4 linked regions of the Tribolium castaneum genome follow. The protein of the gene in region 4 interacts with the protein of the main gene of each other region in a biochemical or structural test. Links are inferred from orthologs where the notes say so. Each region holds a gene or a part of one and is shown on either strand. Other genes may lie near its edges.

Region 1 (4,452 bases), about 2.3 Mb from region 4:
CGTTTCTGCGTCCTCATTGGCCAGGAAACGCAGCGCCAACACGACCTTATCGCGTTTTTCGTGGAAGTTGAGCAACAGTTGCTTAAGGATCTCCCAAAGGTTGCGCTTTCGTAACGTTGCCGACGGCAACCCTGTTGTTTTCTCCAAATAAAGGGTCGATTGTTTGAAATCGTCCTTCGTTCCGTTGAGGAAAACGTGGAGGAAGATGTTTCCGTAGATGCTGGCCAACAGTTCGGTTAAACCGACGTCGATGAGCAGCGCCATCTGCTCGATCAAGTTCCCCACAAGTGGGCTTTTAATGGCCTTGTGGACGAAAAACGGCAACAGGTGTTGGCACTCCAGAGTGACAAAATCCTTAGAACCGTAAGACTCTAGCGTTGTTGAGATTTTACACAGCGAGGTGGCGAGTGGGTAATTTACTAAAGTCTGGTTCACAATGCACAAGTGTGCGATCAGTTCGCACATCTCGCGCTTGTTTTGCTTGTAAAGTTGGCTGGGGGTGGTGTCGTGGAGCTCAGCCAACTTGAAGAATTTATTTACGGCGATTAGCGAATGTTTGGACGTCGGCACCATGATGAAATAAATCAAAATTCGAATTGTTGGTAAAACAGTTCTCTCGCATCTAACGTTGCAAATTTCCTCAACTGTACACAAGAGTGTCTCTTGCAAGGTAAAATCGCTAGTTTGGAGACTCCTCTTGCAAAGCCTCAATAAACAATTGAAGAGTATTTCAATTGTTTCACTTTTAGTAGTGTCGCTCAAAACTTGATTCTCTTGCGCACACTTGATAATTTTTGGGACCACTTTCGCGAACGTTTTTCGCACGTTTTCGTCAGAATCGCCGATTTTTTCGACCCAAATTTTGGCAACGTTGCCCGAATGGAATTTGAGGATGTGGTTGGAGCAAAACGGCAACACCTCCAAGGCTCTCGATTTGAGGCCCGCATTGTCAAGAGTGAGGAATTTGAGGACGTTTTTCAAAATGGCGCCTTGGAGAGTTGTCAAATCGACGTCAATTTTGGCAAAAGTGACACTCAATCCGTCACTTGTCAAGTCATGACATTTTTTACAAAAAATGTCAATTTTGACTTGACACTCTTCGATTCGTGTCAGTTTGACAAAATCACTCGACGAGACGCAAATAATGTCAGGCAGGGCTTCGGTCACTTCTTCCAAAACCCGTTCGTTTGATGACGAAAGGGCCGGTGTGAGGATTTCCGAAATGACCCGGTCTGGGTTTTGAAAGATTGTCAAAATGTGGGCTAAATGCCTGACAACCCCCACGTTATTCATTTGTTTGGTGATTTTCATAAAGTTTGATTCAATTTCGTAAATTTGGGCGATTTCGAAAAAACCGCTCGAAATTCGCGCCAAAAATTCATTCAAGTATTCAAACGCGACGTCCTTTGGGGCGTAACGAGTGACGTATTTGCAAAATTCGGTCATTTCCTTTTTGTATCGTGGGAAATCGCTCGTGCCTTGAAAGTGTCCAAAGCTGAGTTGATTTTGCACAAAAATACAAGAAAACATATCGAAGAAAAAAGTAACGTTTGGGGGACTGGTAACGAAGACTAGACTCAAAAAACAGTCGAAAATTGAGGGCATTGGCACGTTGTTGTCACACGTGGCGAAATGGCGATTGAGGAGTGCCAGGATTTTGATGAGGAAAATTTTCTCCTCAAAAAATTCCAAATTCGAGTTTTTCATTTCGATTGCGACTTCGGTAAGGATTGTTGCAAGGTGGGTCAGAAATTTCAAAAATTGGGGTATTTTACAGTCTTTAGTGCAATCGGTGGCTTCAATTTGTTGCATAAATTGGCCACGAAAAATTTTCCATTTGTCCGAATGTACACACTTGATTTTACAAGCCTCCTGTCTTATATTTCTAACTTGGGTCAACAAAAATGACTTAAAACCACAAAGTACCGACGTATTGAAATCAGCTAAGGCCGTTTTGACGAAACTTTCATAATTGTATTCTCCAAACAAGGGGGTACACCTCTTGCGTTTACAAAAATTCAAAAGTGGCTCCGATGGCGCAATTTCGCCGGTTTTGGTGAGCAAAAACTCGCTCAATTTTTCGAAAATTTGGGTATCCAAATTCTGGCCGAAAAACTCAAACGTGATGAGTTCAAACGATTGGAATTCTTTTGTACTTGTGGCTATTTTACAATTGTAAATTTCATAAACTAACTGTTCGAAATATCGCCCGAACAGCTCCATTTTAAACCGGATTAAGTCACCGAAATCGTTCTTCTTGTCGAATTTTTTGGCCAAATCGAGATAAATCTTTAGAATTTCGATTTTTACGGCGACTGAAGAATAGGAAAGAAAAAACAACAAATCGTCCAAATTCCGGTACGTGGCGCTTGTGTAACAGTCAGACTCTACGCTTTGGCCCAAAATAAATTTAACAATCCTCAACAAATTGAGGAAAAAATCGGGGAAGTTTCTCTGATTGATTTCGATAGCGATCGGCTCGAGGTTCAATTTCTGGCACAAATCTGCGTATTTCTCGGGGACAAAAACGTTGAGAGTTAAGGTGCTGTGCCCGGATTTGACAAAATGGCACAAACTGTTCAGGGTTTCGCAATAGTCCCGTGCCAACTCATCGTAAACGCTCAATTGTGTGTTTGATAGCTGTTCCAAGACACACAACTGGATCTCAACGTAAACATTGTGACTTTTGCACAACTTTTCGCAACTCAGAAGGTAGAAAAAGCGGCCGAGAAACCACGTCGTGAAGGACTTGTACTTCCCGGCGATCCTTCGGTAGTCGTCAAGACTGCTCAGGGGGTCCCTGCTGTAGACGAAAATGGTTGTGAAATCCCCCGATTTGATTATTTTAGCCAAATGTTCGGCGCTCTTTTCGGACGGTTTCATGCTCATTAGGGCCGGAATTGTCGCGCTTAAGGTCTCCCAAATGGAAAAAGCCGGGATTTCGTCGTGTAGTGACATGACTTAACCTAACAAAAAATGTAACGGTACTTACGTCACGGGGGCCGAAAGTACTTACATAAAGGAGATAAAAAATCACAAACTAGAAATAATTACACGAAACATTGTCTAATTCACGAAAACAGACTACATTTTTTGACTTTTGGCGCAATCCCGCGCAATGGAACTGAATCGTGTGAAGTTGGCAACAGGTGCTGATTTAAATCGGGTGATAATTCGGAAACCAATGTATGAAATAAAGTGATTGTTGTAAATTTAAATAAAGTAAGGGAATATTTATTGGGTTATTTTTTTTAATAATTATTAGGGCACGTGTAAGAGGTGTGTTAGTATCCACTGGTGTGAAATTAGCCACAATGACATAACCTCAAGTAATAAAAATCCTTTATTTCTTTAATACAAAAATAACAATTCAGTGCCGTTTCCTCTTCTTCTCTTTCAATTTCATCTTCTGCTTGTTCTCCCGCCTCGCCTTCTTCCTCTGCTTCTGCCCCTCGATTTTCGTCTTCATCTGGAAAACCTTGCTCTTCTGCACTTTCTTGGTGGCCTCCTTTTTGAGTAATCGCTTCACGTCGCGTTCTGAATCAAACTTCCGATTCACTTTACTGTCCTTCTTCTTCAATTCCATCCCAGGCACTTCACTGACTTCACTTTCTTCCTGTTCAACATCTTCACAAATCGGCTGATTGGCCCCAATCCAGTTACTCTCTTTGGCGATCACGTCGGTCGATAACTCCTCAATTCTGACAGTGGCATCATCGTCCTCATACTCCTCTTTGAGAAGGGTCTCCAATTCAGGGATTGGCCGATGGGAGACAACCAATTTTTTGTAAGACTCCTTCGCCTCTGACTTGAGACGCTTCCGCTCCTCCTTCAAGTCGCGCTCGAGCTTCTCGCGGGCTTCTTTCTTGCGCTGGAGCTTGCGTTTGTGGAAACCGGTGAGAAAATCCCTGTGAGGTTATGTAGTGACATGTGCTCAATTCATTACACGTAAAAACGGCGAAATTCAACGAACCTACGCTTCTTTTCGTCGAACACCAGGTGTATTTTGTTTGTGCGATTTTTGGGATTTTTTTGGCGATTTTTTTTAACTGATGAACCCGCAGCCATTTTGACAATTTGTGTTTTCTTTTTTCCAGTACTCGAAGTAAATAAGTCAAGGCGAAAGCCGTGCTCATACTGCGGTTCAACCGCGATTTAAAAATCACTCTTTCATTTGGCTGAAAAATGGTAAATTTGTTCACAAATGCGAGAATGTAGGCAGTTAGTGGTTGCTAAAATTTTGGTTTTTGAGGGAGTTTTGAGTCATGTTATGAAATTGGGAGTTTCGTTGATTAATCATCCCTTTCACGCCTTTGGTGAATTTTTCGACCAATCACAGCCATATCGTGGCATAAAGTCGGCGCTCATCTCATCATGGCTGTCAGTATAAATTTGATCGTAGAATCATGAACTTCCCTTCATTTAAATCGTCATATAACCCGAATTTTTCGC
Region 2 (4,507 bases), on a different chromosome or scaffold from region 4:
ATGAGGGTGTTTGCCTTCTCGAAAAGCAGCCTTGGTTATTTTTAACCCGAAAATCCTCTGATATTCCGCGTCGGTGATAACCGTTGGTCGGAATTTACTTTCTCCCGAGCTGCGAAACGATAAGATAACTAATTACTTTCGAAGAAGCAATTCTTTTATGTTTGGACAGTCTGAAAGTGAATAGATTTTGTGTAAATTATGCAAATTGGTCCATTCCCTGGCCACTTTGAGATGAAGGGATGACCTAAACAGGTAGAGGTGGGAACGTCGGCAATTTGCCGGGATAAAGGTAAATTTTCCTGTATCCAGTCTGCGCATTTCGCACAATGATCCAATTGTTCGGCCAGTTCCCATGTCACTTACAGGGAACGTATTATTCTCACGCGAATGATCCTCTGATCTCTTCCTATCGGAGGCATACAGTATAACTCTCACTCTGATAACGCTATATTCAGGTTTCAGAACGGTCTTAAATGCCAATTCAACACATTCTATACTTATCACACACATGCCTCAAATATAAATATTTCTCGGCGTCATACACCACAACCAAAAATTTTATTCATGTGCTGACTTCATTTGCTCCCATTTCCTTCGATTAGGATAAACAAAACTGTATCAATTTTAAATAAATAAATTTATCAACATGTGCTATAGTTCAATGTGATACATAAATATCAAACTGAAATGCAAAAAGAACTGACCGCTCAACAGCTGCCAAGGAAGAAAGATACTCAACTTCATAACTATTTAGCTCGCTATGCTCACTCAAGGATAACAATTTTCAGATCAGATTCTGAGCCTCGGCAACCAAATGTTTAACCAGACTTCAATAAAGTCTGAAACATGAATCCATAAGTGAACAGTATTCTGATTCGGAAATTTGAAAAGAAAAATCGAATTTTAGAGCAGTAAAAATCCATTTATTTATTCCATATAAAGCAAAGTGAAATAAAACAGTAACAAAACTCACTAATTATAAATATGCCAAATGCCTAGCTTATTTCAAAATAATGCAAATAATGCATTTTTTGAATTTATCAGCATCTGTTGCGTACTGGCCATTTATTTATTTATTATTTTCACCGACAATTTATTAGTTTAACACAATTTATTTATCTTATTGATCCACTATTATTTTCACCAAAAAATAAAATTAAACTGAAATGCTGATAACACATTTGTACCGAAACATCAAGTGAATAAATCGCAGAACATTTATCTAGGAATTTTGAACTTCCTCACATGAATAAACATTTGCGTTTTTTCGATGCGAAAGAGGGGAATAAATCAAAAAATTGGAGATGTACAAACAGAAATAAATTTAATTCTGAATAAATAACAAATCGGATAAAATAAATTTGGCTAATTCGGAATTCTCGCTGTCCGGTCTATTAATATTTAAATATTACGTGATTAATTCCAAATATATCACGCGGGTTCGCACGCTGTTTTTTCCCAAGACCCGTTCCAAATTAGGCGCAAGTTTTGTAAAGAAACTGGATTTTTTCCAAAAATGCGGAAAGGGTGTATGGTAAAAATTTTCATTCCCAGGCGCCCCTCCCTTGCTTTCTTTTGGCGCCCTTGCCCTATCCCTACTCCCCACCGACGATGTGGGGACGAGCTGTAATAGGATAAAGACTGAGGTAGGCTACCTTCACTTCCAAGTCGCGTTTGTGTGGTGTGCGAGGACGTATCGTCCTGGTTTGAGTGCTTGTTGCTTGTGTTAGATTTTAAGACGTTTTAAGGATATTTCACCGCTTTCTTCCGACAATGTGGGATTCGATAAGCACGGATTCTTGTGATGTCTGCCAGTGCCCCCCAAGGTAATTGCCGTGCGGTTTTCAGCCCCTTCGCGATTTCGCGAACAACCCCCGAACCACTTATCAGTTTATCATAATTTTGTGGATTACGTATGCACAGTTGACGCGTTTTTCCCCGATAGTAATTTTTTGGGCCTGCGGTTGGGCGTTTTTTTGACCCTGCGTTTTTTGGGTGATAAAGGTGACAAGGACACTCAAAATTCAGTTTGCTGGTTTCGGGCGGGAAACGCCGTTTTTGCATTTTCGGGGGGACAGGTCCGGAACTGCTCGTTTTGTTTGATTAATTCAAGGCCGTTTTTGTTTCAGATCGAAACGAGGGGACGATTCTTGTTTGGATAAAGAAAATATTCAGCAAGCGTTAAGTCCGGTCAAAATAGAAGAGTTATCGTTTTACGGAAATTCGAGTCCTCCGGCAATAATCTGCTCCGGGACTTCACCGAATCACTGCAACCACAATATAATAACTCGGCGCCCCCTTGAGGACCACGACCCCAATTCGCGCGATTCCGGTTACGTTGCTAATTACAATGAGGGTAAATTCTCGACTTATGCTTCCCCGACTCGGGGGTCGTTCGAACTGGCCTCGATCGGGTCCATGGAGGACGAGTTTTTCGAGGATTTTTCCGATATTGAGCCCTTGGAGGACAACTTGCCGCAGGATTTCGGGAAATTGATCACTGGACCGATCAATTTCCAGAACCGGAAAGAGACACCGACTTCGCCGAGGGATCTAGTAATTCGGCCCTTATTTCGAAGGGCTTTGTCCTTGCAAACTGAAAGGACGCCGCCAAGCAGGGTCAGGTCTTGCCTCTTCAAAACAACAGAATCTCGCCCGTTTAAGAGACCAGAACCGCCGCAAGGATTCGAAAGCCCAAATTCGAAAAAACAGAAAATTGAGGATGAGGAAGCCGCTGTTCCAGTCGCAAGGCCTGTGCTTCAGAGATGCGTGTCTGCGACGGAGGAGAGTATAAAGTTTGCGGTCCAGAGGTCATTCGTGGAGCCAGACCTCATCGGTGACTTCAGCAAGACGTTTTGTTTGCCCTTAACGCAAGGCCGTCATCAGGACTTGAAGTGCATCACTGCTGACACTTTGGCCAAACTAATCCGTGGTGACTTTAGCGGAAACGTCGCCTCTTACAAAGTTATCGATTGCCGGTACCCTTACGAGTACAAGGGTGGCCATATTGACGGCGCCATTAACGTCTACACCAAGGAGCAGTGCATGGAACTATTAACTAACGTCGCCTCTGCGAGCAAGGAGCCGCGCAAAAGGAGCAATATCCTGGTTTTCCATTGCGAGTTTTCGAGCAAGCGGGGTCCAGATTTGTAAGTTTTGCTTCTGGAGGGTTGTATCGCCGTGCTAATGATGTTTTTGCTTCCAGATATCGGTATTTGCGTGAGCAGGACCGCCAGCTCAACCAGGACGTCTACCCTTCGTTGCACTACCCCGAAGTCTACCTACTTGAGGGTGGCTATAAGAAGTTCTTCGAGGAATATTCCGACCTCTGCGTTCCTATAGCCTACACGGAGATGCTGCACCCGGAATATGAGAATGAGTTGCGACATTTCCGGCTCAAATCCAAAACCTGGAATGCTGATACGCGTCAACGGTCCGGGTGCCGTCACAATTTGAAAAGACTAGGACTGTAAATATCGAATCCCAGTGCCAAAATTTGTGAGATAGTACAAAATACAAGTGCGCGGACTTGTTTGCCAAATGATATGTACAAAGTAATGTGCTATATTAGCATGTATCCTGAAGACTTAGTCTTCTTAGTGTATATTACAACTGTATATAAGAGAGTACCTAAATAGCTTGCTCCAGAGTAGTTGAGATGAGATCTTTCCTTTTGCAATGCTAAACCACCAAAGTTTTCTTTTTGTTATTTAGACAGTCGACGGATCATCCTGGTCCCCCTTTAATTTATTTTTTATGTGCAATTTGAACAGCAATAACGATGTGATGTTGCATTTCTTTACCAGTACATTATGCTTCCTTGCTGTTGCGCTGGTGTTTGTTTGCAGATTTTTTATGTTCATTTTATTAGTTTAGTATAGTCTAAGTGTCAGTATTGTTTTTGTATCCTTCAGCATATTCAAATGTGTTCGAATGCAACGGCTGGGGATTTTATACTACTTGAATGTGATTTGTTCACTATTTGGACGGACTGATGCTTACCCATCCGTTGCATCATAGATTTTTAAAGTGATACTTAATATTATAGATCTGTACAATATTTTAATATTTTTATAACTTATGATAATACATTTTTGTTCCACATCAAAACGAACTTTCTTTACCCTTGCACAACAAATTCGTTATTTTGCATCGGTTATTTACCGCTAGAAAGCTACAACGCGCCATCTACCAATCAGCGGGAAAAATCCGACTTGCCTTCCTAGAAAAATTTAACCGTTGAAGTGCCGTAATATTTTCACAAGTACATCATAACTGGCCGTCAGATTTAAAACAGTTAAGTGGCAGTTAGTGAAATCACCACCAATTAAAAGAATTAAAGAAACAAATTTATGAAGCGACATCTATCAAGCTGTAGCTAAATATATTGCGTAATAGATTATGTAATGCATGCTTCCATTTTCCAACAATAGGTGTCAGCCTATGACGACAACAGCCGGCATTTTTCTGTCATTTTTGCAACTTGTGATTGTGTTCTGGAAAGATC
Region 3 (2,753 bases), on a different chromosome or scaffold from region 4:
TTAATGTTTCCGAAAATCTCCGTTTTCGGAGGACCATTTTTTGGGCCAGAAAATAAAACCACAAATTTTTCCGCAAGATATTTTTTGTGCCATTTTTTGCTCCCGCCAATATTTTTTTTGTTGACTTAAAATTTTTAAAAATATTTAAATTCACAAATTTTTAGAAAATTTTTCCGCGAGCAATTTTTTTATGCCATTTTTTGCTCCCGACCAAATTTTTGCGGACTTTATATTTTTACAAAAAATTTTCAGAAAAATTTTTTCGCAAGCCATTTTTTGTTCTCGCCAATATTTTTTGTGCCATTTTTTGCCCTTTTTGTGCCATTTTTTGTTGACTTAAAATTTTTGAAAATTTTTAACAGAAAATAAAATCACTAATTTTTAGAAAAATTTTCCGCGAGCTATTTTTTGCGCCATTTTTTGCCCTTTTTGTACCATTTTTTGTTGACTTAAAATTTTTGAAAATTTTTAACAGAAAATAAAATCACTAATTTTTAGAAAAATTTTCCGCAAGCTATTTTTTGCGCCATTTTTTGCCCTTTTTGTGCCATTTTTTGCCCTTTTTATGCCATTTTTTGCCTCCGCCCAGATTTTTTGCGGACTTATATTTTTACAAAAATTTTTCAGAAAATAAAAATCGCAAATTTTTCCGCAAGGCATACTTTGCCAAAATTTTTTTCCCATTTTTTGCTTCCCCCTCGCAAAAAATCCAACAAAAAAGGGTCCGTTTAAATTTTAAGAAAATTTCCAATTTTCAATCGTATTTTGCGCGATTTTCGGGATTCAAAAAATAAACAAACCAGTAAAACTATAAATTTATTCAATTGCGAAAATAATACATTTCCTCATTTATTATAAATATACATTTCTTTGTTTCGCCTAAGTTTATTAACACATTTATTTTTCCAACACTTGGTAACAAAGGCACAAAAATGTTTTAGACGTGTTTCCATGACAAAACCTAAAAGAACAACACATTCGCAATAACACAAACCTAAAGCTCATGTGAACACTTGAGAAAAATATACGGAACTAAAATATATTATGTATAAAAAATCACGTAGATGTTTCCCATCTTAGATTAAAAAATTAAAACTAGAACGAAATAACCGATGGCTCAATTCTTCCGCGGCAATCTTCGATTGCGTCCCTTTTGCACGTCACTCCTTTTTGGCATCGATTTCTGGGGCGGCTTCGCCTTCACACCTGAAAAACAACCAATCAACACCAGTCCCCGCCTCAAACTCCGCCCACCTTTCGCGGCGCGATACCTCCTCTTTGTACTTGACTTGGCTTTAACCAGCCTCTTCTTCGCCACTTGCACTTTCTTCTTAATCGAAATCTTCTTACTCCTAAGAATGCGCTGCGCTAGCGTCAACTTACTCTTCTTCCGCTCGTGCGCTAACCTACTGCTCTTGCGCACTTTGGTCAGCCCCTCCTTCACGACACGCCCCTTCCCCCCACTCCTCAGATTATGAATGGGCGCCTCGTTCGAGTTCTCGTCACAGTCGCTCGAACTCGACGAAATCTCATTGATCTGAATCGACTCATCCTTGAGATTTTCCTTATCCTCGGCCTCCTTCGGGTCAAAGCTGGTGCTTTCGCGCGGCTTCGACGCAAAATTGCGCTCCTTCAATGGGAAGCTGTCGCTCGAGGTCACGGGACTGGCCTCCGCCTCGCCATTGGTCGACTCGGGGGGCGTGGCCGCCACGCCCCCCTCCTCATACCGCGTCATTATCTCCAGCCCGGTGTCTGGATACGCGTTTTTCTTGCGGTTTTTCAGCACTTGGGCCCTCGGGGGACCTGGGGGGTCCAGCATGAGCGTGACCACCGAGGTGTTGTCGGCCCGCATCTTGGTGTTGTGCCAGCGCTCCAGCGCCTTCTCCACCAGGAGCTTGCTGGGGTTGAGCCACGTTTTGTTGATCGAGTCGCTGAGGGCGGCGTTTTCGTTATGGCGTTCCGCCTGCTGGACGATGTGCACGGCGTTCTGGGGGCTGAGCATGTTGAAGAGGCCGTCGGTGCCGAAGACGAGACAGCGGTGGGTCGAGGTATCGATTGTGAAGACGGCACAGTCGGGGTCGGGGGATACGATGAATTGGTTGATTTGGGAGTTGTAAGACCATAAGTCGCCAAGGCTTCGCGCCACGGCCAGGAAGGGGATCTCGTCGATGGGGGTGGAGCGACGCACGGGGCCCTGGTGCCCCATTTTGGGGCGGTTCCACACCACGCGCGGCACGCCTGCAAGAAATGCAAGTGGAACTGTAGGAGTTTCCCCTCCAGACGCCATTGCGAGCGACAGCCAGCCTCCCCTCCGGACGCCATTTTTATTTCGCAAATTTCGGGTAAAACGAGCCGAAAATGCACCAACTCGGGGCAAAAATTTGTTAAATTTAATTGTTAGTGTTTTGTAAAAAAAAACAAAATTAAAAAAACAGCGTAACTGATTTTATTTTTGCGGTTTTGAAGTAGAGAGTACATTAAAACATGTGAAACATCACAAAAACTTCATAATAAAAGCACTTTTACGTCAATCATTGTTTATTTTTTCCTTTTTATTCTTTTTTTATTTTTGTTTTCGTTACTTTGTTAACATTTTTTTTTTGGATTTTACAAATTTTATTTTTTTCATTTTGCAAGATCAGGCCGAAAAATCGCCAAATCGTATTAAAAAATTTGCCTTATTTTAGCGTTTTAGATTTTGCAATTTTCTCTCGGAATTTTCTAAAAAATAAACCAGAAAAATTAATGAATTA
Region 4 (4,470 bases):
GCTTCAGTACGCTTTATTCACGACGTGTTTCGTCGAAATCCTGGGAGCATTCTTCTTCCTCGTCAATGCCTTGTACATTTTGCAAGATAAGCACAAAGTCGACAAAGCAATTCAGGGTGAGTGGTTTTCGTAGTTGCACAAATAAAGGGTGTTTTTACTAGCGACTAGTCAGAAAAGTAGCGTTCTGTATGACGTAGCGACGAGTTTAACCGACTATCCTATATCTCGTAGAATGTAACTGTTTTATTTCATTAAATGTTCCATTTCTGATTGGTCTGGTTTGAGCGTTTTTTAATGACTTGCTTTGTGCAGAGGTTTCGGATTATGGCACTACGGGCCAAGGAGATGTGGTTTCTAGTCAGTCGACTGAATGATGTATGTGATTTTTTATTGTGCGAGGTGGCGGGTCTTTGCTTATTTTCTTCTTGTGTCTGAAGTTAGTCTCATGGTGCTTTTCGTTTCAGCAAACTCCCAACAACTCCTAACGGATGGTTCAGAAACGGAAAATCCTTCCTGATTATTGGTGTATTAAGCGAGTGAATTAGACTTTCGTAGCGCGTGTGATTTGAACGTGTAAGGTTTTTCGTGTAAATATGAGTTTGTGAGAGTACTAATTGTGTTTTGTACAAGACTGATTTTCATTTGCGTTTTGTCAAACGTAAAGATCAAATACGCACACGATTTCGTATTATATTATGATCTTGTGATCATTCAGTACGTTTTTTAGAATGGTATTAGTTATTGTTTTATTTATTACAAATTTGTTATCACATATAGCGAAATAAAAATTAATAAGCCACACTCGAGTGATTCTAATCCAATCCTAATCCCAATGAAACACACGTTTAGGTAAATAATAGTATATTGAATGAAAAAGTAAAAACGTAAAAAATACAAAACATATAACAAAAAAAACAAGTGGTAATACTATGTAAAGATTAAACGAAAGAGATTCTTCGTCTCTTTGGTATTACGAGATTGTCACCCGAATCGTTATTTTCTTCGAAAGTTTGCACCAATTCTTCCACATTTCTTCTGGTTTCGTGATCCTGAAATATCAAATATAACAAATCCACGTTTTTATCTCGTAACGTAAAAAATATATTAAACATTACCTTTGCCACCCAGTCGTGTTTAAAAATATCTACAATGGAATAACGACAAGTTGAGTCCACCGTGATCATAGATTTCACGAGATTTTTCGCCGGCAATGACACATTTCTCCAAGCTTTAGGGTCCCAAGTTATTTTGCCACTCACTATATTTTTAGCGACTTCTTCCCTACTTGAACCACTGAAAAGAAATTAAAAGAAAATCGGATATTTTCATTTTTATCGCTAGGATAAAATAGGTGAATACAAAAAACAAACTAGCAGCCACACTTCTACTACTCACATTATCCTACTTGAAAGGCGCTGAACATAGCGAAGCGAGGCCTGTATGTTTAAAATTAAAGACTTAATTCCAAAAATTTTCAAATTTGACACACTTTTTTGGGCCACTACTTACACAAAGGGCTGCGTCCGGCTCAGCATATAAAACAGAATCACTCCGAGGCTCCAAACGTCCACTTTCCGGCTATAGGGCTCAAAGAACCTTAATACTTCTGGTGCCGCGTACTGGACGGTCCCACAGACCGTCTCCATCACGCTGATATCGTCCATGATCTTGCTCAAACCAAAATCGGAGATTTTCACTCTCGGGTATTGGTTTTGCGTACTCAGAAGTACGTTTTCAGGCTAAAGACATAATTAAAAATGTGTTTAACAAAATGTGGTTGTTTTACTTTCAAGTCCCTGTGTGTCACCCCGTTTAAGTGTAAATACCTCACACCTAGTAAGATTTGGTAAAAAATAAACTTCACCTCGCATTCGGGGAACGCCAAAGTCGAACGAATCCGACTTGTGAGTTCGCCCCCACTCATGTATTCTAAAACTAGGAACACCTCGTCATCAGTCTCAAAAACCTCCCTCATTTGGATAATAAAAGCCTGAAATTTTGGACATTATTTCACACAATTGTGGGTACTAGTGATAATTACATGAGAGAACGAACTCAGTATCTCAACTTCCGTTTTAATGCCACTTATGTTGTTTCCCCGGCGTGTTGAGACACTAGACCTTGATTTATCAATTCGTTTGATTGCGAATTGCTCCCGAGTTTGCTACAATTACGGTTCATTTGAGGTAAAAACAAAGCGAACTAAACCTTATCAAGGGCTAGACGGACTTGGCCGAAGGAACCACGTCCTAAGAGCTTCGTGGTGGTGTATTTTAGCCGCAACTCCTGAGGTAGGAACTCATAATCGTCGCGATTGATGTCACTGATAAAACTGTAGACTGAATAAAACGTTAAGACATGTGTGGCACTTATGCAGCTAATACCTCTGGTACTGGGGCTCCCTATTGCTATAATATCCTCGTTGTAAATGACACATTCGTTATTTCTGCCTATTTTCGTTCTATTAACGAAAGTGCCATTCTTACTGAGGTCTGTGAGAAACACGAGACCCTCCTCGTCCTTCGTTAGCCGAAAATGTTGCTTGCTAACGTTCAAAATCGTGGGAAACTGACTTTCGTCAACGAAAATATTGCAACTGGGGGCTCGTCCAAAAGTGTACACCGGCTCGAACAAGTCTGGAATTTCACAAGTTTGGCAGTGCTAGCCCCCTTGTAAACTTACCAATCGACACCATTGTCGAGATACAGGCGCACAACCGCCCCCATGGTCGTTTCACCTCCCCCAGCTCCTGAGAGGGCTCGTCGGTTTGGGTCTGAGTCAGGGGCAGGTCTGTGGCTTCCAACATACTTAAGTAAAGGTGTACAATAACAAAAAATGAGGTGATAACAATATGGCACTAAATTTAAACGAAAAAACTTGCCTACATCTCGCAACAATCGGTAGACATGTTTTTGACAAACAAAAGGCGCGAAATGGGGGCTTGTGATTGGTCAAGAGACACGTGCGCCAAGCGCGCGGATTTCGAATCACTGATAAAAGGAACAAATTTTTGTTTTTGTGACCCGGCCGTGACCACGGATAAGTAAATTAGTTGCAAAGTTACAATGAAGCTCGCTGCGGTTCTCTCACTCGTGATTTTGACCCAAGGAGAAGAGTTTTCGCAAGCTAATTATTTGTTCACTTCTGATGTTTACAAAGTGAGTGCGTTTGAAACAAACATAAAACTTACATTTTTCACAGGAGTGTGTTAAAAATGAGGGCGGTAATTTACTAGTGAGTCCCCTTTCCGTGGAAATAGTCCTAGCATTGGCCCAGTGTGGTGCCAGAGATGAGACAGCACGAGAAATCCAAACCGCTTTACATTTGGCCAGTTCTGACCAAAAAACTGCTTTCAAAAGTGTTATTTCGGGCCTTAAGGGGGGCGAACACTACTCGCTTCACACAGCCAACAAGATTTATCTTCACGATAATTTCTCGATTAGGGACGATTTTAAGACAATTGCTACAGAAATGTTCCAATCAGAGGTTGAAAATATAGATTTTTCGAAAACTGAGGCAGCTGGGATTATAAATAAGTGGGTCGAGGACCAAACGAACCAAAAAATAAAAAACTTGGTGCGTCCCGAAAGTCTCCAAAACAGCCCTTCTGTCCTGGTCAATGCGCTTTATTTCAAGGCGCGTTGGGCCTCTAAAAACTTCCTTAAATACCCCTACTTAACTAAGATTTTTTCCAAAACGGCCACTGACCAGATTGAAAGTGAATTCATGATAGATATAGGCGGTTCTTATCAACTGCACGAAGATAAAGAACTGGGCGCTCGGTTCCTGAAAGCTCCGTTTAAAGGACAAGACGCCCATATGGTTTTCGTGCTACCAGACGCTGTGGACGGGCTTGGAAGACTTGAGGAACAAGCGGATAAAATTTTCAGGGAACATTCGTTCCAGCCGGTTATTATAAACGTGGAGTTACCACGGTTCAAAATTGAGAGTACCGTTAATTTCAAGTCGATATTGCAAAAGGTGTGCGAATCATGAACGCAATATCTTAATATTATTCCAATTGTAGTTAGGTGTTCGGAAAGCTTTTATGAACGGCGAGGCCGATTTTAGCGGAATTGCTGGAAAAAAGGGGGAGCTTGTCGTGGGGCAGGTTACACAAAAGAGTTACATTGATGTTAACAAGGATGGGGTGGAAGCAGCAGCTGCCACGAATTTAGGTACGGTTTTGTCAGGGAAATATTTGTTTTAGCGTTTTTTTAGTGTTTACGCTGTCTGGGCCGCCACGAACTACGAAAGAATTTAAAGCAAATCATCCATTTTTGTTTTACATTCAAGCCAAAGGCGTGGTGCTGTTTGCAGGAAGAGTTGTTGATCCGAAATATTAAACACTGTAGTTTGGTTTCAATAAAAGATTGAACAGGAAATATAACTCTTTTTTTATACCTACGTTTAAATGTTATGAGGTGTTTACATTTCACAAAAAACAAATAACATCGTTTTATGGTCAAG

What was found.
Region 1: of the proteins of serine/threonine-protein kinase Chk2 (region 4) and serine/threonine-protein kinase ATR, one has a biochemical effect on the other in vitro, tested with the Homo sapiens proteins (2 studies listed by BioGRID). The link is inferred for Tribolium castaneum from reciprocal best matches to the Homo sapiens genes CHEK2 and ATR.
Region 2: of the proteins of serine/threonine-protein kinase Chk2 (region 4) and M-phase inducer phosphatase, one has a biochemical effect on the other in vitro, tested with the Homo sapiens proteins (5 studies listed by BioGRID, with this or other methods). The link is inferred for Tribolium castaneum from reciprocal best matches to the Homo sapiens genes CHEK2 and CDC25A.
Region 3: of the proteins of serine/threonine-protein kinase Chk2 (region 4) and Pp2C1, one has a biochemical effect on the other in vitro, tested with the Homo sapiens proteins (2 studies listed by BioGRID, with this or other methods). The link is inferred for Tribolium castaneum from reciprocal best matches to the Homo sapiens genes CHEK2 and PPM1D.

What each region holds. Positions count from the first base shown.
Region 1 is NC_087399.1:7,318,753-7,323,204, forward strand, and holds the start of serine/threonine-protein kinase ATR, read right to left. Parts: upstream 3,234-4,452; 5' UTR 2,959-3,233; coding exon 1-2,958. Other genes in the region: vito (nucleolar protein 12), read right to left, coding at 3,371-3,908, 3,974-4,068. UniProt on the Homo sapiens protein: Serine/threonine protein kinase which activates checkpoint signaling upon genotoxic stresses such as ionizing radiation (IR), ultraviolet light (UV), or DNA replication stalling, thereby acting as a DNA damage sensor.
Region 2 is NC_087403.1:1,088,600-1,093,106, forward strand, and holds M-phase inducer phosphatase, read left to right. Parts: upstream 1-1,622; 5' UTR 1,623-1,773; coding exon 1,774-1,826; intron 1,827-2,129; coding exon 2,130-3,149; intron 3,150-3,205; coding exon 3,206-3,473; 3' UTR 3,474-4,110; downstream 4,111-4,507. Other genes in the region: protein D3, read left to right, coding at 4,411-4,507. UniProt on the Homo sapiens protein: Tyrosine protein phosphatase which functions as a dosage-dependent inducer of mitotic progression. Directly dephosphorylates CDK1 and stimulates its kinase activity. Also dephosphorylates CDK2 in complex with cyclin-E, in vitro.
Region 3 is NC_087401.1:15,494,374-15,497,126, reverse strand, and holds the end of Pp2C1 (protein phosphatase 1D), read right to left. Parts: intron 2,239-2,753; coding exon 1,255-2,238; intron 1,207-1,254; coding exon 1,118-1,206; 3' UTR 804-1,117; downstream 1-803. UniProt on the Homo sapiens protein: Involved in the negative regulation of p53 expression. Required for the relief of p53-dependent checkpoint mediated cell cycle arrest.
Region 4 is NC_087399.1:4,988,644-4,993,113, reverse strand, and holds serine/threonine-protein kinase Chk2, read right to left. Parts: upstream 2,942-4,470; 5' UTR 2,807-2,941; coding exon 2,683-2,806; intron 2,637-2,682; coding exon 2,385-2,636; intron 2,340-2,384; coding exon 2,209-2,339; intron 2,165-2,208; coding exon 2,042-2,164; intron 1,991-2,041; coding exon 1,787-1,990; intron 1,740-1,786; coding exon 1,510-1,739; intron 1,437-1,509; coding exon of another isoform or gene 1,397-1,436; exon of another isoform or gene 1,396-1,396; intron 1,294-1,395; coding exon 1,116-1,293; intron 1,050-1,115; coding exon 939-1,049; 3' UTR 845-938; downstream 1-844. Other genes in the region: spin (protein spinster), read left to right, coding at 1-116, 162-238; serpin B3, read left to right, coding at 3,066-3,158, 3,202-3,981, 4,028-4,178, 4,222-4,346. UniProt on the Homo sapiens protein: Serine/threonine-protein kinase which is required for checkpoint-mediated cell cycle arrest, activation of DNA repair and apoptosis in response to the presence of DNA double-strand breaks.